Pelodiscus sinensis: one gene and its partners. The protein of the gene in region 2 interacts with the protein of the main gene of each other region in a biochemical or structural test. Links are inferred from orthologs where the notes say so. Each region holds a gene or a part of one and is shown on either strand. Other genes may lie near its edges.

What was found.
Region 1: the proteins of YWHAQ (region 2) and PRKD1 form a complex in vitro, tested with the Homo sapiens proteins (2 studies listed by BioGRID). The link is inferred for Pelodiscus sinensis from reciprocal best matches to the Homo sapiens genes YWHAQ and PRKD1.
Region 3: the proteins of YWHAQ (region 2) and CDC25A form a complex in vitro, tested with the Homo sapiens proteins (2 studies listed by BioGRID, with this or other methods). The link is inferred for Pelodiscus sinensis from reciprocal best matches to the Homo sapiens genes YWHAQ and CDC25A.
Region 4: the proteins of YWHAQ (region 2) and MARK2 form a complex in vitro, tested with the Homo sapiens proteins (2 studies listed by BioGRID, with this or other methods). The link is inferred for Pelodiscus sinensis from reciprocal best matches to the Homo sapiens genes YWHAQ and MARK2.

What each region holds. Positions count from the first base shown.
Region 1 is NC_134714.1:52,189,616-52,197,402, forward strand, and holds the start of PRKD1 (serine/threonine-protein kinase D1), read left to right. Parts: upstream 1-4,771; 5' UTR 4,772-4,948; coding exon 4,949-5,372; intron 5,373-7,787.
Region 2 is NC_134713.1:27,905,021-27,912,425, reverse strand, and holds the start of YWHAQ (14-3-3 protein theta), read right to left. Parts: upstream 3,005-7,405; 5' UTR 2,849-3,004; intron 1,516-2,848; 5' UTR 1,431-1,515; coding exon 1,137-1,430; intron 1,131-1,136; exon of another isoform or gene 1-1,130. UniProt on the Homo sapiens protein: Adapter protein implicated in the regulation of a large spectrum of both general and specialized signaling pathways. Binds to a large number of partners, usually by recognition of a phosphoserine or phosphothreonine motif.
Region 3 is NC_134712.1:257,276,566-257,283,841, reverse strand, and holds the start of CDC25A (M-phase inducer phosphatase 1), read left to right. Parts: upstream 1-4,274; 5' UTR 4,275-4,437; coding exon 4,438-4,607; intron 4,608-7,213; coding exon 7,214-7,276. UniProt on the Homo sapiens protein: Tyrosine protein phosphatase which functions as a dosage-dependent inducer of mitotic progression. Directly dephosphorylates CDK1 and stimulates its kinase activity. Also dephosphorylates CDK2 in complex with cyclin-E, in vitro.
Region 4 is NC_134721.1:33,913,445-33,921,178, reverse strand, and holds the start of MARK2 (serine/threonine-protein kinase MARK2), read left to right. Parts: upstream 1-4,719; 5' UTR 4,720-5,168; coding exon 5,169-5,225; intron 5,226-7,734. UniProt on the Homo sapiens protein: Serine/threonine-protein kinase. Involved in cell polarity and microtubule dynamics regulation. Phosphorylates CRTC2/TORC2, DCX, HDAC7, KIF13B, MAP2, MAP4 and RAB11FIP2. Phosphorylates the microtubule-associated protein MAPT/TAU.

The DNA of each region.
Region 1 (7,787 bases), on a different chromosome or scaffold from region 2:
TACCTTGTACATGTTAGTTCGAGCAAAACATCCCTATCCATTACGGTGTCATTCTGACCTTATCTTTAGCAGGGATCATTATGTTCTTGTTATCCTGGTGGAGGGGGTGGGAGGCAGCTGTTTTTATGGGATGTTCTAGTACCAGTTTTCTGGAATATGTTTGCCTGGAACATGTGAGTGTATAGTGTCTACCCTTTATGAGAATATGTATGTTTTTGCAATACCCATCCTGTTCTTTCCAGGTTCTGTGAGCTCAGAGCCCGTCGGTGTACAGTGCCTTGCACTCTCAGGCTGCAATCTGTTTCAGGTCTCTGTTAATTATTATTATTAAACATTTAGGTATTGTAGTGCTTGGAGGGAAATACATATTTCCTTTAGGTATAATCATAGGAAGAGATCCTTGACTTGAACCTGGGAAACTCTGATCTAAGATAAAATGTAGATATTTTCAGAGAAATTAAATATTTGGAAAATACTCCGAAGATAAGATCAGTTTTCTCTATTATTTCTTCATTTTATCTGCTCTCATTGTTTCTGCTGTAAATGGGGCCCAACCTTTGGCCATTATCTTTGAAAACTCGTGGAGATCGGGAGAGATCCTGGATGACTGGAAAAAGGCAAATGTAGTGACCATCTTTAAAAAAGGGAAGAAGGCCAATCCAGAGAATTACTGATCAGTCAGCTTTACCTCAGTCCCTGGAAATATCAAGGAGGGGATTCTCAAGGAATCCATTTTAAAGCACTTGGAAGAGGGGAAAGTGATCAGGAATAGTTAACATGGATTCACCAAGGGCAAGTCATGCCTGACCAATCTGATTAGCTTCTATCATGAGGTAACTGTCTCTGTGGATATGGAAAAATCGGTGGATGTGATCTACCTTGACTTTAGCAAAGCTTTTAATGTGGTCTCCCACAATATTCTTGCCAGCAAGTTAAGGGAGTATGGATTGGATAAATGGACTGTAAGATGGCTAGAAAGCTGACTAGACTGTTGGGCCCAACGGATAGTGATCAACGGCTCAATGTCAGGTTGGTGGTCAGTTTCTAGTGGAGTGCCCCAAGGATCAGTTATACGACTGATTTTGTTCAACATCTTTATTAATGACCTCGATGAGGGGATGGATTGCACCCTCAGCAAGTTTGTAGATGACACTAAGATAGGGGAAGAGGTAGATAAACTGGAGGGTAGGGATATGGTCCAGAGTGACCTAGACAGATTAGAGGATTGGGCCAAAAGAAATCTGATGAGGTTCAACAAGGACAAGTGTAGAGTCCTGCACTTGGGATGGAAGAGTCCCAAGCATTGTTACAGGCTGGGGACTGAATGGCTAAGTAGTAGTTCTGCAGAAAAGGACCTGGGGATTACAGTGGATGAGAAGCTGGATATGAGTCAACAGTGTGCTCCTGTAGGCAAGAAGGCTAATGGCATAATAGGTTGCATTAGGAGGAGCATTGCCAGCAGATCTAGAGAAGTGATTATTCCCCTTTATTCGGCTCGGGTGAGGCCACATCTGGAGTATTGTGTCCAGTTCTGGGCCCCCCACTATAGAAAGGATGTGGACGCATTGGAGAGGGTCCAGGGGAGGGTAACCAAAATGATTGGGGGGGCTGGAGCACATGACCTATGAGGAGAGACTGAGGGATTTGGCTTTGTTTAGTCTGCAGAACAGACGAGTGAAGGGGGATTTGATAGCAGCCTTCAACTTCCTGAAGGGAGGTTCCAAAGAGGATGGAGAAAGCCTGTTCACAGTAGTGACGGATGGCAGAACAAGGAGCAATGGTCTCAAGTTACAGTGGGGAAGTTCTAGGTTGGATATTAGAAAAAAACTATTTCACTAGGAGGGTGGTGAAGCACTGGAATGGGTTACTTAGGAAGGTGGTGGAATCTCCATCCCTAGAGGTTTTTAAATCTCGGCTTGACAAAGCCCTGGCTGGGATGATTTAGTTGGGATTGGTCCTGCCTTGGGCAGGGGGTGGACTTGATGACCTCCTGAGGTCTCTTCCAGCTCTATGATTCTATGATTCTATTTATTCCTTACCTAGAAAATTCCCACTGAAATTTAAAGTAAATAAGGATACATATGGTCATGAGCTAGGGCCCATTTTACGTGTGCATGTTTTATATATAATACATTTACATGACTCAAACCTCATTATTCTCTGATTCTTGGCAGTTCTAGTCTTTGATGGGACCCTGTTTCATTTTTTCCATCTATGTAGCAATGAAGGCTAGTTCTCCCTTTCTTCCAGTGACTTTTACAGATCTCTGGAGGCCAGGAGGAGGTGCCATTACCATGCTCAGTAACCAATAATCTAATGACCACGAGCAAGTGCTCTGAAGTCTGAAGTTTGGGAGTTTTTGTTTTGTGTAACCTTAAATTTAGTGTTAATTTTAATATCTCTGTGTGTAAATACATATCTATCATATATACTTTATAACTTTTTTTATATATGTAATGTTAGCAAAGCTTCCAAGAAAGTAGAAGATAGGATACACAAAGAACAAGTTAAAAATCACTTAGGAAAGTTAGATGTCAGCAAGTCACCAGGTTCTGATGAAATGCATCCCAGGATACTCAAGGAGCTGATAGAGGAGGTATCTGAGCCTTTAGCTATGATTTTTGAAAAATCATGGAAGACAGGGGAGATTCCAGAAGACTGGAAAAGGGCAAATATTGTGCCCATCTATAAAAAGGGGAATAAGAACAACCCAGGAAACTATAGACCGGTCAGTTTAACGTCTGTCCCAGGGAAGATAATGGAGCAGGTAATTAAGGAAATCATATGCAAACACTTGGAAGGTAATAAAGCGATAGGGAATAGCCAGCATGGGTTTGTGAAGAACAAGTCATGCCAAACTAATCTGATAGCTTTCTTTGATAGGATAACAAGCCTTGTGGATAAGGGAGAAGCGGTGGATGTCCTATACCTAGACTTTAGTAAGGCATTTGATACGGTCTCGCATGATATTCTTATTGATAAACTAGGCAAATATAACTTAGATAGGGCCACGATAAGGTGGGTGCATAATTGGCTGGATAACCGTAGTCAGAGAATTGTTGTTAACAGTGCTAAATCCTGCTGGAAAGGGATAACAAGTGGAGTTCCGCAAGGGTCTGTTTTGGGACCCATACTGTTCAATATCTTCATCAATGATGTAGATATTGGGATAGAGAGTACGCTTATTAAGTTTGCAGATGATACCAAACTGGGTGGGGTTGCAACTTCTTTGGAGGATAGGGGCATAATTCAAAATGACCTTAGCAAGTTAGAGAAATGGTCAGAGGTAAACAGGATGAAGTTTAATAAAGAGAAATGCATGTGCTCTACTTAGGAAGGAACAATCAGTTCCATACATACTAGATGGGAAGCGACTGTCTAGGAAGGAGCATGGAGGAAAGGGATCTAGGGGTCATAGTGGACCACAAGTTGAATATGAGTCAACAGTGTGATGCTGTTGCAAAAAAAGCAAATATGATTCTAGGTTGTATCAACAGGTGTGTTGTAAGCAAAACTCATGAAGTCATTCTGCCGCTCTACTCTGCACTAGTTAGGCCTCAGCTGGAGTACTGTGTCCAGTTCTGGGCGCCACATTTCAAGAAAGATGTGGAGAAATTGGAAAGGGTACAGAGAAGGGCGACAAGAATGATTAAAGGTCTGGAGAACATGACCTATGAAGCCAGACTTCATGAACTGGGCTTGTTTAGTTTGGAAAAAAGAAGATTAAGGGGGGACATGATAGCGGTTTTCAAATATCTAAAAGGGTGTCACAAGGAGGAAGGAGAAAATTTGTTCCTCGTGGTTTCTGAGGACAGGACAAGGAGTAATGGGCTTAAAGTGCAGCAAGGGAGGTTTAGATTGGACATTAGGAAAAAATTCCTAACTGTCAGGGTGGTCAAATATTGGAATAAATTGCCAAGGGAGGTGGTGGAATCTCCCTCTCTGGAGATATTTAAGAATAGGTTAGATAGACATCTGTCAGGCATGGTGTAGATGGAGCTTGGTCCTGCTTTGAGGGCGGGGGGCTGGACTCGATGACCTCTCAAGGTCCCTTCCAGTCCTATGATTCTATGATTCTCAACAGCTCTCAATGCTGGCCTAACTTTAGAAGGAGCAGAGATAGGCAGATACCTAACACTTGAAAATTATGCCCTCAGTGTATACTCTTTTTCACCATTCATATTTGATTGTCAGAACAGGTCTGCTTTTGCTTTCTTTATAACAATGGCAAAATGACTTCACTGGCAACTGGTTGGGCTCTAAATTGCCACCTGATAGTAGAAAACTACTGCAACAATGCAAATGGTGTAACCATTAATTGGTTCCTTAATCTGAATATGGGACAGTCTTTTAAAGATTTATCAGGAACAGTTTAAATGTCAACAAAATCTGAAAATCAATAAATGGCTTAACCCAGTATGTATATTGGTTCTTAGTAATTAAATTTTGTTTCGGACTTTTTGTTTTGTAGCTTTTATCTGTGTGGCAGCATAGTATTTTCCAAACAACCTTAATAATTACAGTTTAAATTAGAATTTGGCTTGAGAACATGTAAGCAACTCTGGGAATAACTATTTCAAACAATAAAAAAGTTTAAAAGTTATTTTATTAGATAAATGCAACTAATAAAGAAAAAAAACATGCTTTAGAATGCCTTCAACAATTCTGAGTGTTTTTAAAGACATCAAGAGGAGGGGAGTGTGTTAGTCTGTCATCCCATGGAGAAGCCTTATCTATACTTCCTCTCCCTTCCTTTCTCTTTTCCTCCATTTCATAAGGTTGTGAGCCATGACAGTTGTGTGGTGCTGTTGATACTAAAAGAGGAGTCTTTCATTTACATGTTTAACACTTCAGTTTTTCAGAAATTGAAAATATTTTCAAGTTTATATGCTGTTTTGAAATTCTATCCTAGATGGACATAAATAAAAGGGAGCAGGTTTGATAGCACATGCATCCTCTTCTTTGTGAATCCTACTGGAGTTGTGTTGAGGACTGTGACGGGGCTAACCTGCCCCGCACTGAGCAGGAGGGAGAGGAGCCCGTTTATTGGGTAGAGCATGCCCCTCCCCCACAGTCCTACTGGGCATGCTCGAAGTGCAGCCTCACTATAAAAGACTGCTGGGCTGCTCAGCTGGAGCAGACCGCCGGGGAGGAAGGAGCTCCGGCCCAAGCTACAGGCCTGCCGCCGGACCTGCCACCAGATTCAGAGCCGGAGGGATCGCCGCTATTGCTACTACCATCCCCGGGGCGTGCATGCCCCCAATGCCGACGCCGGGGGGCCGCCCGCCCCGCTGCAGGAGACACCCCCTGTGCTGCTGCCCCAGAGACGGGACCAGCTGACGTTGCCGCCGCCACCAGCCCAGCATCACCAGGTGGGACCTCCGTTGGCCACAAGGCTGGGGTAGGAAGCAACCCAGGGCAAGGGACAGGGAAGGCCCCGGTGGGCTCAGCACGTTTCAGGGAAACCCCTCCTCCCCCCGCTGAGCCAGTGGTGGGAACCACCCACCACCATTAGGGCCCTGGGTTGGGGTCCGGTGGAGATGGAGGGCCCGGACCCCCCTACCCCAACCCCTCAGGGTGTGGACTAGGCCTCTGGCCTGTTGCGGGGGCTGGACTAGGCCTCAGGGCCTGCTGGGACTGTGGACTAGGCCTCCGGGCCCATTGCGGCTACTAGACTAGGCCTCCGGGCCGATAGCTAGCTCTTTAATCACGGGGAGAAAGGAAAGGGGTGGGGAGGACCCCGCCACAAGGACCAAAACACATGATTCACAGTTGTTAGGTGGGCCTCTTAAGTGGGGTATAAATTTACCAAACTTAAAAAAATCTTTCCTCACTTCTATTCTCTTATTTCTTACCTTTCTCCTCTCCTTTTCCTCATTTAATTATATTTCTTAGGCAGATGTGGTATTACACCAGGGCTGGGCAATAATTTTTTGCTGGGGGCCACTTCAAAGATTTTTGAAGTGGCCATGGGCTGTGCCAGAAAGGGTGGGGCTAGGATGCTTCAAGGCTTCCCCACCCACAGACTATGATTGGTCTGGGGGTGTGGGAGCTTCTTTGCCCCCCCTTTCCTCTAAGCACCTATGCCTCTGGTGGTGGGAGACTTCCTGTGCTCCCTCACCTCCAGGCCAATCAGGGCCTGGGGCTGGGGGAGCATGCAAAGCCTCCTCCTGCCCTTCCAAGAGCACTTCTCACAAGGCGGGGGCAGGGCAGAGGAAACTTAGGTGCTGGGAGGAGACTTCCCGTGCTCCCCCACCCCCAGGCTAATCATGGTCTGTGGGTGGAGAAACCTGGAAGCATCCTGGCCCCACCCCTTCCATTTGAGGCCCCACCCCTTCTCAGCCTTCCTGGCAGGGCAAAGGAAACTTTGCATGCTTCCCCCTGTTCCCAGACCCTAATTGACCTGGGGGTGGGGAAGCGGCAGGGCCTCCATGGGCTGGATCAACTCACTTGGCGGGCCGGATTCAGCCTGCAGAGGCTCTTTTGCCCACCCCTGTACTATAGCCTTTGGGCTTTTAAACTGTTCTGACATGGTGAACTAAGGCCATATAAAACCAGAAATTTCTTTCAGTTCAGAACTCTGGTTGATACATCTTTGGGATTCTGTCTAGTTCTCTTCCTTCTCTCAACTCTCCCAAGAACTCTAAGATGGGAAAAAGTGCTGAGTTCACCAGCAGCTCGACTGTCAGGCTCCTTCCTTCCCCTACTACCGGTTACCAGGTGTCCGGTATTCACCCGGACAGTCCAGTATTTTTACCTCCAGTCCAGTAAAAAAAATTCAGAGAATACCGGACACCTAAAATGTTCTGTATTTTCTGATTTATTTTCCCTGGCCAGGAGGCGAAAATGCTGGGCACCTGGCAACCCTACAAACACTCAGCGCCCAGCCTCCCCTTCCCCTTGCCCGCCCCCTGGCTCCCAGCACCCCAAGCCCCTCGACCCCAGCTCCCATGCTTACCTGGTTCCACAAAATGGCTGCCAACCAAGGGGAAGTTTCCCCTGGGTCTCAGTGCTCAACAGCTCCCCTGTTCCCAGTGGTTTTTTTTGGGGGGGGGGGGTGGCGGGGGGTGTTCGGTATTTTTGTTTCAACCATCTGGCAACCCTACCTACTACCTGTGGCTAGGCTGGCGCCATGGGAAAACCTGAGTCCCTCTAGAACAGGGCACTGGCCAGGAAGAGCCAAGCCATGCATGTGCCAAAGCTCTAAAAGTTGCTGTCACGAGGAAGCTTTTCAGACCCTTAATTAAGTTCTGGAGTGGTGGGAGAAGAATTTTCCAGCTGTAAACGTGTCCCCCCGTACCCCCATGCGAGGCAGGGGGTTTTACGTTCGTTCACCCAGTTCCATCCCCTAACCCCCGGGTCCAGTCCCCTAATGATCGTCCCACCAGAGTCCCAGTTAATTGTGCTACTAGTTTCTTAGGTCCTTTTGTAATATAGGTTGGTTTGCCTCCTGGATGGGGAGAGGGGGGTCCAGGCCTGCTCCCTCTCACGGACCCCAGCCCAGGGCCCTAAGGTCTTGGACGTCCAGCTTGTCCGGTCCGGCTGGCGGGGCTTTAGCCGAAACGCGCCAGCCCGCAGGCCCCATTGGCCCGTCCTGGGCTGCTTCCTCTCCCCACCTAGGGTTGGCCCGCCGAGGCGGGGCTCACCTCCTCGATTTGGGGCTCATCCGTCGTCCTCTCACGGGGGGAGACGCTCTCGGTACTCCCTCCTTCTCACACTCCCAGCCGGGGTTTAAATCCCCGCGCCGCGGCCTGTCGGCGGGGCCCCGCCCAGTGGCGTGGCATGGG
Region 2 (7,405 bases):
TATATTGGAATGTGTATCTCCACACAACCCAGAAAGATGTCCCCCCCCCTTGTCAAATGAGTTAGAATTCTTGGCTTGAATTTGCTTCTCAATAACTACTGAAAAAGACAACTAGTCTCCTGATCACCTGGATAAATCTGAAACACATTTATTTTATGAACTTGCTATCACCTCTTCCTAAGATACCACCTGAAATGCTGTTTTATCATTATACTGGTGATAAAGTAATTCAAGATTATTTATTGCTTCCAGCTGTATTGCACATCTAACTTTCTGCAGCCAGAACTTTAATTGATCCTCTGGAATAGGGTGCTGCATATTCTTCACGGCTGACACAGATTCAGCACCCACTGTATTGCAGCATATTTGTACTATTATGATCATCTAGATGACTAGGGTACAGTAAAAAAAATACAAACATTGCTGTACTATTATATATTCATCTGCAGTACTTCTTTCAAGCTTAAATCATTGGTAGTTTTGCATTATTCTACAACCATTGCATCTCTATTGTAATAGGCAGTCTGAGAAGTATATTTGCAAGTGCCGAATGCCTGCTTTTCTACAGATTTAATACTTGACTCTTAAGGTTTTATATTTTATACAGTATATTTTTACTTCAAGACCTCTTATGAAATTATTCATGTTATACAAATCTCCTCTTGACCTAAGGTAACAGAATTTTGTGACCACCACCCAAATGAGCACTCCAAAGCCGGTCATTCAGATATTACACTGGTTAACCTGGATGGTTACAAAAGCGTTATTAACCAGGAACCACAAAAGGAAGAAGCATCCTTGTTTTTCCTTCCAACCCTGTTATGCTCAACTATCTGCTGTACTTACACAATGGTGCACACAATCTCGAGCTCAAATCCTTCCGTAGCCCCCATAATTACAGGAGTGATCCATATTGATCTTCCCTCTCACTGCATCCTCCTTTCCCACACTTCATTACAACTAACTATCCCTGCTTCCCTCAGTAGAGTGGTGCAATGGCTTATCCCACACCCCAGCAGAGTGTTGCACACAGATCTCCCACACCCAAACCTATGTATCTCAACAGAGCTAAGAACAGATGCTTTATATGTCACTTCCAAAGGACTGCAAGATGTATCCCCAGATCCCCCACTCACCAGCACAGTGGTGCAGATGGATCGGAGCTCAGACTCTACCTTCTCCCGATAGTCCTTGACAAGCTGCATCTTCTTGTCATTGGTGTCTGTTTTCTGCTCAATGCTAGAGATGACCCTCCAGGCAGAGCGCCGTCCCCCCACTACGTTCTTGTAGGCTACCGAGAGCAGATTGCGTTCCTCATTGGATAACTCTGCACCCTGTTCGGTTACTGCCTTCATGCAGGTAGCCATATCATCATAGCGTTCGGCCTGTTCAGCCAGCTTGGCTTTCTGGATCATCTCGGTCTTCTCCATGGTGGCTGGCAGTGGGGAAAGGGCAGCAAGGCAGAAGGAGAAGCTGATGCTGTCACACTGTCAAAAGGAGAAGGCACCTCAAAACCTGCCAGAGGGGAAACAGATTAGCCATGACTCTGGGAGCCAAAAACTACAGGACACCACACTCTGTCCTTCTCCAAGACTCAGAAGACATCAAGCCAATCATCATTCTATTAATCAAGAATCACAGACCATAAAGGATCTCCACCACTACACCACCTCAAAAGCTATCTTGGAATGAAGAACCTTAGGCTTATATAGCCAGCCCATTTCACAGGGAACTGGTCACAGGACAAGTGCTCCAGGGTCTCTACAGAAGGTTAATAACCCAGAAACCATGACAGGGGAAAAGATAACTCAATCCCTCCCCACTGGAGCACAATCTACAGAGCAGATGGTGGGAAAAGGCACTCCAGTCTCTTCAGAGTGGCTTTTGTTTCCACCTCCACTTTCCTCCCTCTCACTCCTGTGTGCACTAGCCAGGCTTGCAGCCCGGGAATACTAAAAAAAATTAGAGGGGGAGGAGAAGAAATAGACGGCTGGAAGCCATTAACCTAAAGGGGCTATCTCCAGGAGCCCTGCCTAAACGCTTCCCTCTACGCCTTGTTTCAGAGAGATTTGCCTTAAACATGGGTACCGTGGGGAATGGGGCTAGTAGAATAACCACCGACCGAAGGGCAGAGACAGGAGGACGAACAGGATGAGACTGCCCCAGAGGACACGGGAAGGAGAAGACAGGTATCTAGCGCGCGTCTGGGGACACAATGGCCCCGGAACAAGAGGATCCGAGGACGGCATGGCAGTTCATGCTCCCGCGGGGCAAGCGGGGCCCCCGCTGCTGGCAGAGATGGGGGGGTGCCCCGAGATAAGGAGACACAATAGGGGAATCTTTGTCCCTTGGCGAAGGAGGCGGCGCGGGAGCAGGCCGGGCGCTCACAGGGATCCGCGTCCCCAGCGCAAGGCCGGGGAAGAGGCAGCACTGGGAAACCACTGCCCGAACCTCCCCGGCAGGGCGGCGAGTCTCGATCCCTCGGGGGAGGGCGGGGACGCCGGAGTCCCATCCCCTTGGGTGGTGCGGCGGGCAGGACTCGCTCAGCCCGGGTGGGTGGGGTCTGCAGGCTGAGCCCGGAGCGGGCGGGGGAGAGGCAGCTCCACGCCTTAGGCCGGGCCCGGCCGTTCTGCCGGGGAGAACGGCGCTCGGCAGCTCTCTGCAGGGCAGGGCGTGGCCCGTGCCCAGGGGAAAGCGCTGCGTCCCGGGGCGCCGCCGGGTGCGAAATGGCGGCGGCGCTGGCGGCATCTCCCGCTTCCCGGCGCCGCCGGAGACTCCGCGCCGCGCTCACAAAATGGAGGACGCGGCGACCTTTCTCATTCCCGTGGCCGATCTCGGTCCCGCTCACCTGGGTCCGTTCCGCAAGGCCGGGCCGGCTCACGCCGCTGGATCGGGTGCGCTCCGCTCGGGGCTGGGGCGAGGAGAAAGAGCCGCTCCTATCTCAGGCGAGAGCCAGCGCTAAAGGGCGTTGGCACAGGCAACCCTACCCGCTGCTAGACCCGCGCTCCTACGGCCAATCCGAACGCCTGCTCCTAGCCGGGACCCGCCCTTCGCGTGCGATTAGCCAATCCAGACGTAGCGCGCCGTCGCGGGGGTGGGCACAATCAGGGCGCAAGCTCGGTTGGTCCGTGGGCTGCGGCTGGGGCCACGGGGTTTCCTCCAATTAGATCCAGGGTGAGCTAACGTCACTGTAACTATGGTAATACTGCTACACCCCCCCCCCTCCTCCCTTCCACGCCCTGCCCTAGCACTGGAAGCTTAGTCTGGGCGCGGCACGAGACAGTGCGGAGGTGCGGCTGGGCGGCTCGTGCTGCTGCGGCTGGGCGGGGCAGAGGGGGACTCCGGGTTCGGAGAGCGGGTGGCAGCGCGGGGCGATGGAGGGCGGGCGTTGTAGGGAGGGAGCGTGCACTGCTAGAGGGGAGGTGCAGAATGGACGCTGAGGGATCACTGGGGATTGATGGGGTCGGTGCGGGCTCCATGCGGCGCTGCCCCACCCCTCCCCTTTCCCCCCCTCTTTGCTGCCTGCCTCTATCTGATAGAGGCAGCAAGGGGGAAGAGCGACTAATCGAGTAGCCCTTAACATCCTTACTCTGATGGAGGGGTGGGGGCGGCAGGAGGGGGGATAGAGGTGGTGGGACGTGCTGTGAGCTATATTACTGAAAGGTGAGTATGAAGGTTAGTTAAGTGCCACTGAAGTTTAGGGTGCTGTGAAAGTAGCTACTGGGGGTTCAAAAGGATGTGGCTATGGCAGTGGATAATGAAAGACCAGTGAGCTGTTGAAGGTGGGTTGTAAGGATTAGTGGATTCTGGGATGGATAGGGTGGTGGATGGTATTACTACAGGAAAATTTATGGGGAATAGGTGGGTGATGCTGGACTAGTTTGGTTGGGGTGTGCTTGGGGAAATAATAGATGGATATTGGGAGGTGTGGAAAATGATTGTGTGTTGCTGATTGGTAAATGGGTGGGAGCTATGAGGGAATGAAAAGGAGTTAACATTCAAAATTATTTTTCTCCTCCCCTTCAATAATAGTCTGTGTCTATCCTGGGTTTTCATGATGGTCAGCATATCTTGAGAAATGACTGAGCACTTTTTAAAGGCTTTTTTTCCTCTTTTGTGTATTTGGGAATAGTTGATGAGGGGGTATTTGTAGAAGGGTGTAGACTTGAGTGGATAAGTTTGCCTTTTTCCTTCGATGGAAGTGAAAGATTCATATGACAAAACAAAAAAATGTGGATTGAGTTTTCCTTGATTTCAGGCCATGTCACCAATCTTTGATTCCTCAGCAGTAAAAATATGCAGTTGATGATGCAGACAAGAACTCCTCCTTTTCCAAGAGTTAGACATTTATGATGGAAGGAGTTATGTCTTTTTGGAGCGGTTAGTCTGGAGTAGGAGTGAGAGGAAGGGGGACAGGGAGAAAAAAGGTAGGAAAAGGGATGGTATAAATTTGTCCTCGTTTCTTTACCTAATGATGGTGTTTGGAAGAAGTTTGGTAATTTTTCATGTAAAGGCAAGAGCCTCAGAAGCAGGGAAGGGTTATTTTCTCTCTGCTGACTAGAAAATAAGTTTTGCAGCCAGCCCTGGAAATCTTTTTCCTGGCAACCAGATTTGGCTGCTATGTCCCTTGAAGGTGTCCAAGAAGGTAGAACAACTGCTCTGTATTGTGGATAAAAAGGCTTGGTATGAAGGGCTTGGTTGGAAAGTTTAGGATTCTTCGATCCTTGTGTTAATGGACAGGGGAGACAAGGCAGGAAGAAATCCTGGTTTAAACAAGAAATTGTTCAGTCTCTTCCATTGGTTTCATCTAGAGGTTGGCAATATCAGTGGACAAATATTCCAATCTTATGATCATACATGCTGTTATATGTAAGATAAATGTTTATTAAAGTGTCATCTGGCCATGATTTAATTAAAGGTGACCCCTCCCCAACAGTCTTGCATGCAATTCTTAAATACAGATTGAATGATCCCGCTGGACCAGTTTTGGCATAGTTGATTTTAGACAGGCACTGAGTACAGGCCGCTTGAGCCTAAGAGGAGGAAGAAGTATTGTGGTTATGTTTTTTATAGCTAATCTGAAATGCAGGAGTTGTACCTCAAAGCTGAATTAAATGCATACTTTAAAAATGAGTAGTCCTGTTGCACCTTAGAGACTCATGATTCTGCTACAGGACTACTTGTTGTTTTTAAAGTTACAGACTGATATGGCTACACTTCTGAGACTTTTTAAATGCACACTTGTGAGAGTTCTGGGACTTATTCTAATAGGCAGATCATCCTGCTGCATTGCAAAGTTCCTGCATGACCTAATATAGTTTCTTACCACAATGGTTTTGGGATCTCCAAGGATGACATTTCTCAGTAACTTAAACATCAATCTTGGATGATGAGCTCTCTATATTAATCCAGGATTTCATGGGGACCATGAAGATGAAGGTATTAGTGGCTGAGATTCTTTATTTAGTGTGTGGTTAGGACTTCTGTTTGTTTAAATCTGCTGTCTGTTAATTTCATTGGGTGATCCCTGCTTTCACAAGAAGTAAGAGAAGTCAAAGGGAGAGTGTTCTCCCTTCACCTTCCTGCAGTGTGGACAGCACCAGAAGTTCAATTAAAGTACTTTGACTTCAGCTACGCAATTAACATAGCTGAAGTTGCATATCTTAATTCAACCTTATCCCATAGTATAGACATATCCCAGTTGAGCTTCTGCTGATGAACCCTATTCAGTGCCTACTTGAGTCTGAATCATGGAGAAGAGCTAGTTGTATGAAGCTCACTGACACAATGCTGAAAGAACTGGAAGATATGGCAAGGGTTATTTCTGACCCTTAATTGGCAGGTTTAAGCTAGCCCAGTGTAATAAAAGTTTGCAGTCTGTGGTATCCCCAGCTGTTGTTTAATGGGTCATATAGACCAGTGATCAAGAAAACTCTCTTCAGTCACCAACAGGGCAGGGGAATATAATTGTTTCTTTTGGTTGCAAACCTTGCTACTGCAATCTATTCCTTTGTATTCTCAAGACTAAATTTCACCGTAAATCAACCTGAAAACTGAATAATAGAAAATTAGGGTTGGAAGATCTCAGGAGGTCATATAGTCCAGTGGTTTTCAAACTATTTTCCTTGTGACCCATTTGAAGAAAATTATTGATGCCTGCAACCCAACATAATTTGACTAAAGCGTGGCCTCTGGGGTGGGACTGAGGAAGAGAGCTTTTGGGTGTAGGAGAAGGGGGCTCTGGCTTTGGGGGATTAGGGCCGAGATAGGAGGGGATTATCTTGAGTAGCTTCCCGTCAGCTGTGCAGCCAGGGGTGTTAAGGCAGGCTTCCTGCCTCGACTGACACCATAGACCATGCTGTGCCTCAGAAGCTGCTGGCAGCAGGTTCTTAGCCAATGGGAGTGTGGAGCTAGTGCTCAGGGCACAGGCATTGCGCAGGCAGGACTCCCCAGCTGATCTCAGGTTCCGGGGAAGTGCAGCACAAAGCTGGGGGTCAGCTGGGGAGTCCTCAGCTGACCCTGGGCTCCACTGCCCTTGTAAAATGGGTGGAGGGGGCAGTTTCAAAGGGGAACCCACTGCACAGCTCCATGTGGCACTTCCCCAGAACCTGGGATCAGTTGAGGACTCCCAGCTGACGCCGGGCTCCCCGCAACAGTGGAACCCAGCGTCTGCTGAGGGCTCCCCAGTTGATCCCGGGTACCAGGGAAATGCTGTCGGGAGCCTAGGGTCAGCTGGGGAGTCCCCAGCTGACCCCAGGTTTCAGGGGAGTGCCACTCAGAACTCCTAGGAGCATTCAGTGTAGCATGGAGCCCGGGATCAGCGGGGGACTCTTAGTCCCCAGCTGACCCCAGGCTCCATGGCTTTGAAATGCACAAGACTGCTGGGGACTCTTGTGCATTTCAAAGCAGGCACCCACATGCAGCCCGGAGTCAGCGGGACTTCCTGCTGGCACCGGACTCTATGCGGAGTTCCTCATTCTTCCTTTGAAATGTACAAGTGCCTATTGACTAGTCAATGGAAAATTAGTCAATTAACCACATTTTAACATCCTTAATTCAAAGGGATTAGAGAGGCTATCAAAATAAAAAACCTCAATATTAGTGGGGGATTTCAACTATCCCCGTATTGACTGAGTACACATCACCTCAGGATGGGATGGAGAGCTAAAATTTCTTGATACCTTAAATTACTGCTTCTTGGAGCAGTTGGTACTATTTGGTATCCAGGAGGTGGGCGGGCATTAGCCCGCCCACATCTAAAGGACCTCCCCCCATCCTGAGGGGAGGGTCCACTGAATCTGGAAAAACCAACTAATTACTGGGGACAAATAATGAAAAAACAGGTACGGGTGTGAGGGTCAAAGGGTTAAAACGAGGGAACTGGATGGGGACACCGAGCAGAGAA
Region 3 (7,276 bases), on a different chromosome or scaffold from region 2:
CTGTGACAAAATGGGACTGGGCCTGAGCCCTGAAAGGTTTAGTGTCCCCCACCACTGGCTGGGAGCTGTGTGGGACCGACCCCCTGAAGCAGCTGGGAGCTCTAGGGCCCCCCCATCCCTTCCCCTAAACTGCTGTCCCGCCTCTTCCCACCCCTGCTCAGCCTCTACCCCCATTCCACCCTCAATCCTCCTTCCCTGAGCAATTTGACCTGGCACTGGCAGCAGGGGTCAGGCCTGCCCCATACTCCCGGCAACAAGCAGAGGGACCTGGCTCCAGCCTGCTCCATTCTCCAGGTTCACAGCCACGTCACTTGCGGAAAGGCCCTAGCCTACCCCACCCCACCCCACCAGCTCCCTGCTGTGTTGCTTCACTTCCCACAGCCACCAGGTACACCTCCTCCTTATGTCCATCCAACAAACGTACTCACGCAGTGGGGAAAGATTGTACACCCAGGGACACATTGCACGAGGACAGGGTCCCATCCAAGAGTGGGAGACTATAACATTGGCTCACATCAGCATCTGGAACAGCCTGAGTCAAATGGGACTGTCATTGGGGTTCCTTGCAGGGTTACCAGTAGCTTGATGGGGCCTTTTCTTCTTGCCCTGGAACCCACAGGCAGTGCTTGGCTGTAACTGTAGTCCATGAACAAGCAGTCGAGATGGAAATGTCTTTCCCATCCACACTCATAATATTTTCCCAGGGTCATTCCCACTGGGAATGGGTTGACGGGTTGCCATCTAATCAGCATTCTCTCTGCCTTCAACAGGCCAAGTTGATAGATCATTTTCCCTGGCTCGTGAAGATCGGTAACTCATTCTAGCTATTGGCTTGGATTCCCAGGGTTCTTGGTCCTTTGACCTTGTGCCTCCAGCCCCTCAGCCTCCAAGTAGTCCTCTATCAAGGAGACTGCTCCTGTAAGTGAGGTTGAATAATGTTGCCTCATTCATTCTTTTCCTATGGTGGAGAGAATCTGAATGAACTGCACCATCATCGCTACCTGTGCCACTTGGGTCCCCTCAGCTTCTCTGGCTCCAGCCAGCACCAGAGCTTTTGGGCCACAGACCTTGGCCTAGTTCTTGGGGTGCTATCACTCCCGCCAAAGTCATTGCTGGTATGTTTCAGGGTTGATGCCCATTGAGTCAAGTATGGCCACTTTGACCAATGGGAGCTGACAAATTGTGCTGCACTGCCCCCCCACCTCCCAACGGCTAGGGATCAGCTAGCCAATACCAGTGCACCTTGTCACAGTGCTACATTAACAATACATGCCTTGTCATCATCAATACAACATCCTAGGTGGGCTCCTGACATTGGGAAGGGTATTGTACAAGTACTTCCTGGGGGGCTCCCTAAGCACTGAAGCTGGTTGCAGAGCCTGTGGGAGCCTAGGGCTGACCCCATCAACAGACCTATTCCCCAACCTTAACTCTGTTCCCAAGGGAGATTTCCTAGGCCTGCAGATGTCCTGGCCAGCTCCTCCATGAGCCTTCGGTGTACAGACAGCTTGGATTGGCAATTGAAGCTCCTCTCAGGCACTGCGTGGCCCTGTAAGGGCCTCTCTCCCATTTGATCCCTCTGGTGCATGGTCAAGATGGACAGGATGGTGAGGTTCTTCTTCCATATGATACACTTTTAGAGCTGCTTCCTGCTATACATTCCTTGGTGCATGATCAGACTAGAGAGCTTGTGATGCTGCTGGTACATGAAGCAAGGTCTCGTGCACAATGAGGTAGGACTGCCGCTAAAGCATTTCTGGCACTGGGCACACCATCAGGGCCTCTCTCCTATGTGGATTCACATGTGCAGGTTGAGTTTTGATACTTTTCAAACTGATACGGTCTCTGGCCACAGTTCGTTTATTGATGGGTCCTGAGCTAAGACAATGTGTTGAAGCTGCTCGCACACAACTTGTACAGGGGGAGCTCTCACCCACATGGATGCACATGTTCACAGTGAGATTCTTCTGCTATCAGAAGCTCTCCTTACATTGTGTGTTCCTGTAGCTCATCACTGGCTGGGTAGAGTTGGGAAGCACCAGTTCCTCCCGCAGGCAAAACAGCAAAGGAGATTCCAGACATATTGCTCCCTTTTGGGTTCGGCGTGGTCATGTATCCTACATGCAGTTAATCTCTGGCTTTCGTTCCAGGAGTCACCATCTAGAATGGGTGGAGGGGAAGCCAAAGGTGGTTTGCATTGCACATCACCACACCGAAAGCCCCCAATGTGCTTCTCTGATTGAGGGGCGCCATTCTCAACACCCTATTACAGTATTGTCATCCTCAAATGGTTAAAAATGTGCAAAACCCAGAAGAGTAAGTAAAGTAAAATGTGGGCTCTTTTTATTCCACTGTTTTTGCCCTTAGTTAAGCACTTCAGTCACATTTTGAATCTTTTCTCTGTAATCAGGAGGTCTAACAATCCATTTGGTTGTTTCATGAGAGTGGAGCTAAAAGCTAGGCATTATTATTCTTAGTCTCACTTGATCACATGCCTCCAGTAGCCCAGGCTTTGAAGAAAAACTTCAAAGGTTTCGTTAGTCTTTAAAGTGCTACTAGACCATTGTTGTTTGTTTAAGTTTTTCCTGTTACAGACTAACTCGGATACCCTTCTGAAGCTTTGGAAGGTTGTGACACTTGTGGGAACTGCCCCACGGTGTGGCTTTAAGTGGCTTGTGGCTTCGGCACTCCTGCTATAAAAACTATTCCGGTGCCACTGGACTTGGGCTAAAACCGCAGGATTTGGGAACGGTGCTCTTAAAACCAGGCGGAAACGTTGCCCCATAAAAACGTCCTCGGGGGGGGGGGGGTTCCCACGCCTGTTTCTCGGTGATTTCCGTGCCACGGATGCTGAGGTGATGAGGATCTGCGGATGCTGAGGTGATGAGGATCTGCGGATGCTGAGGTGACAAGGATCTGCGGATGCTGAGGTGATGAGGATCTGCGGATGCTGAGGGGATGAGGCGAAGGATCTGCGAATGCAGAGGTGACAAGGATCTGCGGATGCTGAGGTGATGAGGATCTGCGGATGCTGAGGTGACAAGGCGAAGGATCTGTGGATGCTGAGGTGACAAGGATCTGCGGATGCAGAGGTGACAAGGATCTGCGGATGCAGAGGTGACAAGGATCTGCGGATGCTGAGGTGATGAGGATCTGCGGATGCTGAGGGGATGAGGCGAAGGATCTGCGGATGCTGAGGTGACAAGGATCTGCGGATGCTGAGGTGATGAGGATCTGCGGATGCTGAGGTGACAAGGCAAAGGATCTGCGGATGCTGAGGTGACGAGGATCTGCGGATGCTGAGGTGACGAGGTGAAGGATCTGCGGATGCTGAGGTGACAAGGCAAAGGATCTGCGGATGCTGAGGTGATGAGGATCTGCGGATGCTGAGGTGACGAGGCGAAGGACCTGCGGATGCTGAGGTGACGAGGATCTGCGGATGCTGAGGTGATGAGGCGAAGGATCTGCGGATGCTGAGGTGACGAGGATCTGCGGATGCTGAGGTGATGAGGCGAAGGATCTGCGGATGCTGAGGTGATGAGGATCTGCGGATGCTGAGGTGACGAGGTGAAGGATCTGCGGATGCTGAGGTGACGAGGCGAAGGACCTGCGGAGCCAGCCGCCGACGTCCCCCCGGGATCCGAGAGTCAAGCTGGTTCTTTCCCACCCGGAGCAGGGTCTCTAGACAGAGAGGTCCTAGGAGCTGAGCTACCAGTTACCAGCCATGCTTGTGCTGCCCAAATGGCATGTGATTACACCCATGGCCTCCTCATGCATCCCCACCCCCTCCCAGTGTTGCCCTCAGCGATGGCTCCTGATCCTGAGCTGCTGAGGTGAGGTTACTAGAGACTACACATCCCAGCATGCAACGCTCCCCATTGAGCCGAAGGATCCAGGGATCCAGCTGGAGCGTTGCATGCTGGGATTTGTAGTGCCACTGGCGCGCCTAGGAGGGCGGTGGCTGTGAGTGTCAACGAAAAAACCCGCCGGCGCCCAACGGGCTCATCGGCAATTCTACTGGTCAGGTCTCCTGTCACACAATGCAGGGGCGGGAGGAAGGAATCTTTGGCGGGTTTCAATTGGCTTTCCCGCTTGCCGTCCCTTCTGTTCTATTGGCCAGCCCCGCTCTGTGGGCGGAGGAAAGACGAAGGCCAATGTCTTGGTCATTCCACGAGGGGAGGGGGCGGGAAAGGAAAAGCGTCCGGTTTGTGATTGGTCGCGAGGCGCCGCTGCTCTTTTTTCACCCCCTCCCCGCCCCAGAGTGGCGGTCCCTCAGAGAGGTGGGCGGGGCGCGGCCAGACGGCTTCTGATTGGCGGGCCCGCGTTTGGCGCCAGCTTCGGGTGTCCGCGGGGAGCTCGCGCGCGCGCGCTGTGCGGCTGACGGGAGGGCCCGGGCGCGGGGGTCGCCGCCGACAGCAGGAGCCGCCCGCCCGCCGCATGGATCCCGGCCCCGGCCCCGGCCCGCCGGGCCCCCACCGCCGCCGCCTCCTCCTGCCGCAGCTGCCGGCCGCCGGGCCCGGCGTGGCCAAGTCCCTGTTCCCCGCCGAGCTCTCCCCGGTCTCCGGCCTCAGCCGCACCATGAAGCAGCTGCAAGGGCTCGGCTACAGGTGGGACCGGCCCGCCCCCTGCAGCCCCCACATCCCCCCCCCCGTCTCCGCACTTCCCCCCTCCCCCACACTGCCCCACGTGACACCCGCTCTTCGCCCCCCCCCCCCCCCCCGTCAGCTGCCGGAATCCCGCAGGGGCGTTTTCTCCCTCCCCACGTGTGGCTCCCAGAGCGCCCCCCCCCAGCCTGGAACCTGCCCCCCCCACTAACCTCATCCCGCCTGCAGGGGCCCCCCCCCCCACTAACCTCATCCCGCCTGCAGGGCCCCCCCCCCCCACTAACCTCATCCCGCCTGCAGGGCCCCCCCCCCCCACTAACCTCATCCCGCCTGCAGGGCCCCCCCCCCCCACTAACCTCATCCCGCCTGCAGGGCCCCCCCCCCCCCCACTAACCTCATCCCGCCTGCAGGGCGCCCCCCCCCACTAACCTCATCCCGCCTGCAGGGCGCCCCCCCCCCCCACTAACCTCATCCCGCCTGCAGGGCCCCCCCCCCCACTAACCTCATCCCGCCTGCAGGGGCCCCCCCCCCCTAACCTCATCCCGCCTGCAGGGCGCCCCCCCCCACTAACCTCATCCCGCCTGCAGGGCGCCCCCCCACTAACCTCATCCCGCCTGCAGGGCCACCCCCCCCCACTAACCTCATCCCGCCTGCAGGGCCCCCCCCCCCCACTAACCTCATCCCGCCTGCAGGGCGCCCCCCCCCCACTAACCTCATCCCGCCTGCAGGGCGCCCCCCCCCCACTAACCTCATCCCGCCTGCAGGGCGCCCCCCCCCCCACTAACCTCATCCCGCCTGCAGGGCCCCCCCCCCACTAACCTCATCCCGCCTGCAGGGGCCCCCCCCCACTAACCTCATCCCGCCTGCAGGGCGCCCCCCCACTAACCTCATCCCGCCTGCAGGGCGCCCCCCCACTAACCTCATCCCGCCTGCAGGGCCACCCCCCCCCACTAACCTCATCCCGCCTGCAGGGCGCCCCCCCACTAACCTCATCCCGCCTGCAGGGCCCCCCCCCCCCCACTAACCTCATCCCGCCTGCAGGGCCCCCCCCCCCCCACTAACCTCATCCCGCCTGCAGGGCGCCCCCCCCCCCCACTAACCTCATCCCGCCTGCAGGGCGCCCCCCCCCCACTAACCTCATCCCGCCTGCAGGGCGCCCCCCCCCCCCCACTAACCTCATCCCGCCTGCAGGGCGCCCCCCCCCACTAACCTCATCCCGCCTGCAGGGCGCCCCCCCCCCCCACTAACCTCATCCCGCCTGCAGGGCGCCCCCCCCCCACTAACCTCATCCCGCCTGCAGGGCGCCCCCCCCCCCCCCACTAACCTCATCCCGCCTGCAGGGCGCGCCCCCCCCACTAACCTCATCCCGCCTGCAGGGCGCGCCCCCCCCCACTAACCTCATCCCGCCTGCAGGGCCCTCCCCCCCCCACTAACCTCATCCCGCCTGCAGGGCCCCCCCCCCCCCACTAACCTCATCCCGCCTGCAGGGGCCCCCCCCCCCACTAACCTCATCCCGCCTGCAGGGCCCCCCCCCCCCCGCACTAACCTCATCCCGCCTGCAGGGCCCCCCCCCCCCCCGCACTAACCTCATCCCGCCTGCAGGGCCCCCCCCCCCCCACTAACCTCATCCCGCCTGCAGGGGCCCCCCCCCCCCACTAACCTCATCCCGCCTGCAGGGGCCCCCCCCCCCACTAACCTCATCCCGCCTGCAGGGCCCCCCCCCCACTAACCTCATCCCGCCTGCAGGGCCCCCCCCGCAGCCCTAACGCATCCCCAGCCATGCGGCCCCCCCAAAAACCCACTTGTGCCTGTGGCCTCGCCCCCTCAGCTTCCATAGCCCCCAGGACCTCGCCCCTACAGCGGCTTCACGCCGGCTCGCCCAGACTTCACCCCGCAGCCTCCTTGTAATTGCCTCCGTGGGGCCCCCATCACTCCACCCCTATAACCTTTCTGGTACCAGGCTCCCTAGTTCCTTGGCGCCTGTCCCCTTCCTCTGTATCTGGCTCTCTGGGCTCCAGTCCTGCAGCCTTCCAGACTTCTTGGGCCTGCACTTCTCCTTCGGATGGCTCTCATGACTCTTCCCCCTGCATTCCTAATCTCTGCAGCTCCTGTGAATCCTGGTCTGTCCAGCTCTACAACATATGGCCCCCCATAACCTCACCCATGTAACCACCTTGGCCCCTTTGTTGTTTTTCTCCAGCCCGTTACTCCACCTATATAACCTTTACTTCCACTATATATAGTTCCCCTGAGCTCATTCCTGCAACCTCATGGCTCCCTGGTACTGGTCTGTTTAGTGCACCCTTTCAACACAGCCCACATGGTGCCACATATGATCTCAATATTATTCCTAGTTGCTGCCACATACCTTATGCATGAGTCCCCATGACCTTGTCCGGAGACAGCTATGTGTGCTGTGTTCATTATGGGTACTCAAAATTTCAATTTGCAGGACTGTTAAACTGGCACGTTTTTGCATTGTCCACTACTTAAACTGATCAATTCTGTTCCGAATGGAGCTCATCTACAGTGTTTCTACATTTTAAACCTATTGTGACACTTTCTGGCTGAAACATTGAGTAAAATAACTCTGTTTTTAATCTTTATAGTCAGCATGAAAACTCTCTGCTAATGCTGGAAATGAGGAACAGTAGCAATCTACAAAGAACAGA
Region 4 (7,734 bases), on a different chromosome or scaffold from region 2:
GGCCAAGGAAAGTGGTCTAGGGGACATAGGACTAGGGGGATCAGTGGGGAACACATTAGAGAGGAACTCATTGGAGAAGAAAGGGCCTGGGGAACACAGGCCTTGGGACTCAGAGGGAGCTGGTGGGGAACGGGTTTGGGGTCACAGGATTGAGGGGGTTTCAGACGGGTCTGGAGGGGAAAGGGATTTGGAGGGCACAGATTTGGGGGATTCAGAGGGGACTGGAGGGAAAGGGGTCTGAGGGCATAGAACTGGGGGGGAGGGCTCAGAGAAGGCTGGAAGGCCCAGAGGGGGCTGGTGGGGAAGGAGTCTGTGGTTACAGAATTATGAGGGCTCAGAGGGGGCTGGAGGGCTCAGAATAGGATGGAGGGGGAGAGGTCTGGGGGCACAGAACTGGGGGGACTCAGAGGGAGCTGGAGGGAAGTGGTCTGGGGGGCACAGGACTGGGGGGCTTGATGGGGCTAGAGTAGAGGGGGTCCAAGGCATACAAGACTGGGGATGGGACAAAGGACCCAGAGGGGGGACAGCATGTGTGGTGCCTCTAATGATCCCCAGGGCCATGCCAGCCGGTGGTGGGAGTGTCTTGCTCCTTCCTGCCTTGGCTTTAGACATTGATTTGCTCTGGTTCTCCACCGGGAGCAGGGCTCCTTCTTATGGTCCCTACAAAACCCTCTCCCAGTGCACAAAAACTCCCCCCCCATTGGTGTTCAGCACCACCCTCTGCAGCAGGGAAAGCTGAGTCTCCCTCAGTCCAGCAGCCAGAGAAGGGACAGAACAAGAAAGAGTTAACAGCAGAGCAGCTTCCTCCCTCCTCCATCTGACCATGTGACTGCGCCACTAGCACCTCCCTCTTGCCGCGATGGGGCTACATAGTTGGAAACTCCTACTCTAAGGCAGAGCTGGGGTGGGGGTGGGGGAATCCTGACTCACAGCCCCCCTCCAGCCAGCAGGCTTCCTTCCTTTCCTGCCTCCTCTCCCCAGCCTCTAGGTTTCCTTCTGTCCCCCCTCTTTGGCTTTCCCTCCAGCCTGCTGACTGTCTTCTGCTGCCCGCTCCAGCCCTTGAGGTGCCTTTTGCTGCAAGGACCATTCTCTCCATGGCCGTCATAAATCATCCACGGCAAACACTCCAGAGCCCAGCCCCTGGTTCCTGAGGAAGCCCCAACAAATCAGGAGAACAACGAACTACTGGCTGGCCAGCCTGCAATTGATCCCCCAGGGAACCTAGGACTAGTTCCTTTGCGATCTGCTTTTCCCCAGTTCCCTTCAATTTTGATTGGAAGGTGTTTCTGCTGGACAGCAACCTTGCCCCTGTTGGCAGCTGAGTGGCGCAGTCTCCTGCCCCCATATTGCACATTCTTTGCTCCCTTGGAAGCCACAAGGGATGAGGGACCATATTTTTCTGCACCTCCTGGCTGCTATGGGGCATTCCTTATCCCTGGCATCAACCCCAGGACTCAGGGGTTTGAGACAGGAGTAGAAAGCCAAAGTAACCTCCTTCCAAGCAGGTCAGGCTGGCTCAACAAGCCCTAGCTGCTATTAAACACAGGCTGCTCTGAGTCAACACTCTTGGGTCCAAGCTCTGGCTCTCCCTTTGCCTCTAGGTTTGCAAACCATGGCCCTGGGGAATAATGGGACCCAGTGAGTAGGGCACTGGGTTGGAACTCAGGATGCTTGGGAATTGTTCCCAGCTCTGCCACTGACCTTGGGGAAAGGGCCTTCTCGTCTCTGGGCCTGCATATCTCCCCCCAACCTTTGTTTAGATTTTAAGCTCTTAGGGGCCCACGCTGCCTTTCCTATAGTGCTGTGATTTCAGCTGGGGGGGAGGTTGTGTCTATGCAGCCTATGGCACAATGGAGACCCTGATCTTGGTCAGTTTGTGAAGCCACAACACAATGGGGTCTTGATCTTGGTCCAGACGATCGTGGATACACAGAACAACAATAAAGCTGCACAAAGTAGTTCCCCACTGCGTGATTCTGGACGGACATTCAAGAGCGGCATGAAGCTCTGTTCATGACTGGGGCCCTCCAGTGGTAGGCTGAAAATTTTGCTTGGTGTGCTACATATGCAATCTGGCTAGGGATCCCTGGGGAACTGGCCTCATCAGCAGTCCCTCCTTGCTGATGTAGTGCTGTGTGCCAAGCTGCTAAGCAGAGAGGCAGTGTGTAGCTCTGCTGCAGTGTGCAATGTGTCATGGTGTGTTTGAACACAACAGTTTTGATAATCCTCCTGGTGTTGCACTGCACTGGAGGCCTGACTTGCTTCTTTGCTAGCTCACTATGCCCTAGCTCTCTGACTGGAATCTCTACCTCTTTACAGGATATTTGGTTCTGGGGGAAGATCAACAGAGACCCAGATTTGGGAACAATTCACAAATGCAAGCATCAGCCAGTCCCACTTGGTGGTGCTAATGTTGGCTACATGATATATGAGCATCCTCTAGTACAGTGTTTCTCAAACTGTGGTTGCATGGACCAGCATTAGACTTGCTGGGAACCAGGGCTGAAGCTGAAGCACATGCTCCACCCCACCCAGGACAGTGGGGCTTGGACTGTGGACCCCTTTCCTCCCACCCAGGGTGGTGGGATTCAGGCTCCAACCTCTCCCCCCCGGATCATGCATTAACTTTATTGTCAGAAGGGGGCTTGTGATGCAATAAGAACCCCTGCTCTAGTGTGTATGTGGATGCAGAGATATTGCACAAGTGTGTGCATGTAGGTGTGAGTATGTGCATGCAGCTGAGACTCTGGGAAGGTATGTGGATGTGTTTGCACATCAACATTGCACAGGTGTGTGTAGGCAGCTGTGACTCAGGGTAGGAGTGCTTGAGTGTGTGCACATGGCTGTGCAAGCAGATGTGTATTTTTGTGTGTGCACAAATTTACATGAGCATGCATGCAACTATAGGTGTATGCATGCAGCTGCAGATGTGTCCATGTGCATGAAGCTATGGATGCATCTGCATGTCATTGTGGGTGGGTATCTGTAGCTGTTGGAGTATTCCCGTATGTCAGGGGTGGGGAACTTTTTTTGGGTCTGGTGCCATGTGACCCATAGAAAAATCAGTCAAGGGCCACACACAAAACACACACACTGAAGCGGCTGATTGAGGAGAAAGACACTCCCTACATTGCCCTTGCACACCAGAGCCTGGCGGGCCCAGCCTAGTAGATTTTGTGTTCTCCAGCCCTGTGGTTGGGCAGTGGAGGGAGAGGGGGCACTGGAGCACCAGCACAGGCTCCCCAGTGCAGGGGAGTCCCTGAATCTCGGAGTCCGGATCCGGGCAAGCCGGGGTCCACATCTGATCCCTGGGCCTGAGGTTCCCCACCCGTACTGTATGTGATTGCCACTATGGGCCTGTACCAATGTGAGTGTGCATGATTGTACATGCAGCAGTGAGCATCTGTGGATATGCAGATGTTTGTGTGTGCAGCCCAGCCAGGAAGTGTGTGAAAGAGGCAGTGGGGACCCAGATTGTCTGTGTGTGTGCACTGCATGCAGCTGTGGCCATGTGCAAGCCATGCGAGGGCTCCCCCTGCCAATTCCTGGAGCTCGTACACTCCGGCTCCGGCTAACTGGGGCGCTGCACGTCGTCAGCAGCAGTCAGCTCCCATCGCATCTCCAGGACGCTGCAGTGGGTGCTAAGCGCCAGCTGCGTCAGCCTTTGCTGCCGGCCGGCACCAACTGCAGTTCCACCGCTTCACAGCAGGTGGCGCCGCTAGCGCACATCAGCCCGTGGGGCTGGGTGACGAGGCTTGGCAGTAGCAACCGGGAGAAGGCGGGGTCTCGTCGCTTCGGAACGTCACTGCGCGCGCGGGGGAGGAGGGCGGTTGGGTAGCGCCAGCCCCCATGCACGGAAGAGACCACTGGGAGCGGGGGGGGGGAACCCTGTGCTGTAGGTGGGTGAGGCAGGGACGCGCGGGGGGAGGGGCGTTACGGGTGAGTCTTGCGTCTCCAGGGGGCGCATGAAGCGCAGGTGCAGATGGGAGTGCGAGTGCGAGGACCTCTCCGGCTGGGCACGGGCACTTGCAGGCCTAGGCCGTGTGTCTATGCAGCTGCACTTGCAGGTGTGTGTGTGACGCGCCCAGGTGTACACACACACTTGTGCATGTTTGCACGATGCGGTGTGTACGTGAGCGCATAGCGACTCAATCCGTTGTGTGCCGGGTGTGCATCCTTGTGCGCCCATTTACCCAAATGGCTGATTTAATCTTCCTCCTCTTTAGCCTGGCTCCCCTCCGCACGGGAGAATAAGCCCCCTCGGGGGCTCGCGCAAACCACATTTGCGGAAATAGCCGAGGCTAGTCGGCTCCTCCTGTTTTCGCCCCCGGGCTCGGTTATTCGCCTTGGAAAGGCGGAAAGAGTCGAAACCTCTTCGGCTTGTTCGTTGGTTTCCGGAAATTGCCGAAAAGAGCGTCAGCAAGGGGGCGGGGAATATTCCGGAAACTGCCGATCTTCAGCCTTCGGTTACTCTCGGGCGCTCATCCGGAAGTGTCCGATTGCTGTCCCGAAGGCGAACTTCGGGTTTATCCGGAAGGAGGCGAAGTGACCGATCGCGAAAGGGGCCGCGCCTGCTGTTTCGGATGTTTCCGGAAGGAGGCGCGAACTGGCGATGACAGGGAGGGTGAATCGAGAGTTTCCGTCAGACGGCGGAAGCTGCCGAGAAGGGGTTGGGGGCTGGGGTTTCCGGAACCGGCGGAAACTGGCTCCGACGAGCGGCTCGGATGTTTCCGGAAGGGGGCGGAAATGGCCGAAGGCCGGTGGCGGCGGCCATGTTGGGATCTGCTGCCGCTGCTGCTGTGTGAATGTGAGATGCGCTGAGGGGAGCCGGGTCTCGGGGCGGAGAAGGCGGCTCGGCCAGGGGCACTCGGCCTCCGGGTCTCCTCAGCCCCGGCTCTGTGCAGCCTTCGCTCACGCGTACGCCTGGCTGCCGGCGGCGCGGCCTGGTCCCTGCGCCTCATCCCCGGGTTCGCCTGAGCCGCCGGGCCGGGCTTCCCTCATCGCGGCCCGGCGGAGACCCATGTCCGAGTCCCGGCGGTTTCCGGCTCCCTGAATCCCCCCTCCCCCTTTGGGCTCCCCCATGGTGGTGGCCTGGCCGCCCCCCCCGGTGTGAGGAGAGCCCCAGGAACCGCCGGAGCCCCAGGAGCCGCTGGCCAAGGGGGCCCAAGATGTCGAGCAGCGGCCGGAGCCCCCTCCCCACCGTGAATGAGAGAGACACGGAACAGGTAGGGGGCTGGGGGGCCCCTAACCCGAGGGAGGGAGGGAGCGAGGCAGGGAGGGCGGGATGCCGTATTTTGCTGAGGGAAGGGAATGCAGGGGGGCAGGAGAGGGGTTCCCTGCTCCGGGTGGGGGGAGATAGAGCAAGCATTGACTATAGGGTGGGTAATACCCCATGCCCTGCAGCTCCCCATCCTGTGCTTCTAATGGTTAAGTGAGGGGTGGGAACCTCCTTCTTCATAGATCGATATGCATCCTTCTTGAGTCCTTAAGGGTCCATCTGGTCTTCCCTGTGATGGGGCATGTGGAGCAGGAAGGCAGGAGAGGAGATTCCTACAGAATCCCCTGTGTATGTATACGTATCTTCCACCTAGTAAGTCCCTTCATGCCTCCCAAACTCTGTGGTCTATAGTGTACCTACTGGAGATAGTGCAGATCAGGGAAGAGATTATATGTATTCCCACATACCCAGTACTTCATCACTAACTGCTGTCAATGGAGAATGAGATATTGAGACAAATAAGGGAGAGACTACTATGTATCTGCTCTGTGCACAGAGCTACAGATCCCCTGTGTATCTTCCCTCAAAGTGGATGCAGGGACACTTGGAACCCTGTAATGATTCCCTGGTGAAAGAGAGGCATGCGGCAGGATGATACAAATAAATATCTATATAGTTCTTATTCCCATAGGCTGAGTGGTCCATGCAGGAGTGGCTGTAATCCACTTCTGTGCATTAATGCTCCACTTTCAATCTCCCTGAAATGGGAAGAAGAGAGCAGTGGATTGATTTATTCCCTGTGGCATGCATGAGCAATTGGGAGCAGGGATCTTTTCCATCTTTCCTTCCCCTCCCATATATTAATTGCCTCATCAGCCCATGCTGAATGATGGGGGTTTTGAATGGGCAAGGGAAATGGCCCCCTGCTCTGCCTCTCTTTGCCTTTTCTGCTGCTCCATATCACATCAGGTCCTTCCTTGGCTTTCATAGTGAAGGAAGATCCCACTTCCATGCTCACTCATTATTCCCCTATGCCCTTATTAGGTTTACCTCTCAAGTGCCTCATTCATTTGCAGCTCAAGATGCCTGGTGACATGGTGGTGGTTTGCTTTTTCAGGGGTGCATTTGTGAGAGATGACAACTAGTGAGCAAATTGCATTCCCAACTGAATTTAAGAAACAGCTCATAAAGACACACAAATCTAACCTGTTTTAATCCTCATGACCCTTGTGAGTCGAGACCTGCTGTAGACATGAACTTCCCATAGTCAGTAATTTTTTTTTAGGTGATTTGTGGAGAAAAGAAGGGACTGGCTGTGCAGCCAGGATCTCTCTGGCTGTTGTGTTTAGCTGCATAAGGTAATCAAAACATGGTTTTGGACTTTATTTGTAAAGAGTATTTCACTTGCACTAACAGCCTTCCTTCCATGAAGTCTGATTCATTCTAAGTGGTTGATGCCATATGCTACTTAGTCTCCTCCTTATCTTTGTCCAAAGCAAAGGTATTTTAAAAATGGGCTTCACTCCCAGTCTTGAGATGGCTATGTAGTTTAGGGATGTTAAATATTGGTTAACTGAATAGTCAAGTAACCTCATGAATTCTTATTGATTACTCGACTATTCTATAGTCCTGGGGGGAGGCGGGGGGCAGGTGCCAAGTGGGTGCTGGTCTGTGAGGGGAACCAGTTTAAAAACCAACTTCTCTTGTGGACCAGCTGTTTGTTGCCCTGTGCTGCTGCCTCTAATATAGGGGAGGCAGCAGCCCCTGTCCATGGTGGGAAGAGGTCTGAGCTCCTGGACTCATTGTGAGCCAGAACTGAGCCAAGCTGCCTGCCCACCTACCTCCTAATAATACACTTTAAATGCAGAGCTACAGTGGGGGTAGGTCTCATACCTGTCACGAGCCAGGACTGAGACAGGCTGCTCACCATACTGCTAACAAATTTACTGCCCAGCGGAGGGAATGCATGTAGTCTGTAGCATTAACCTATAAGCTTTTTCTTATTGGTTAATCAACTACACTATTGCATCCCTAATGTGGTTGTATCCCCATTACTAATGAAGCTTGAGGAGGTGTGGAATTGTGTATGTACGCTTGTGTATTGTGTGGCTAAGAGGGCCCTAGCTGCCCTTTGACCACTAATGTATGCTTTATGTTGGTGAAGTTGGTCCTGGTTTCAAAACATGCCCTGGTGCTTCTTAGAATTAATAGAATTTTCTTCTCTGGTACCTTTAAACAAGCAGGAATACAGCTTCAGAATGGGGATCAGCTCCCTCTGTTTCTATTAACTGGTCTCATTTCATCTGGCGTTCTTAACAGTTTCTTCAAAATAACTAAATTTGGCTGACATTTAAGCACAATTGATCTAAAGCTGTTTCCATGATCTCTCTTCAGCTGCCTTAACTTTAAATTGCTAAAGCATAAAAATAAAGCTTCTGCTTCCCTTATCCCTGTATGAATGGCTGGATAATGAGAATTCAGATCTCAGACTGACACTTCAGACCGGCTGTCAATGA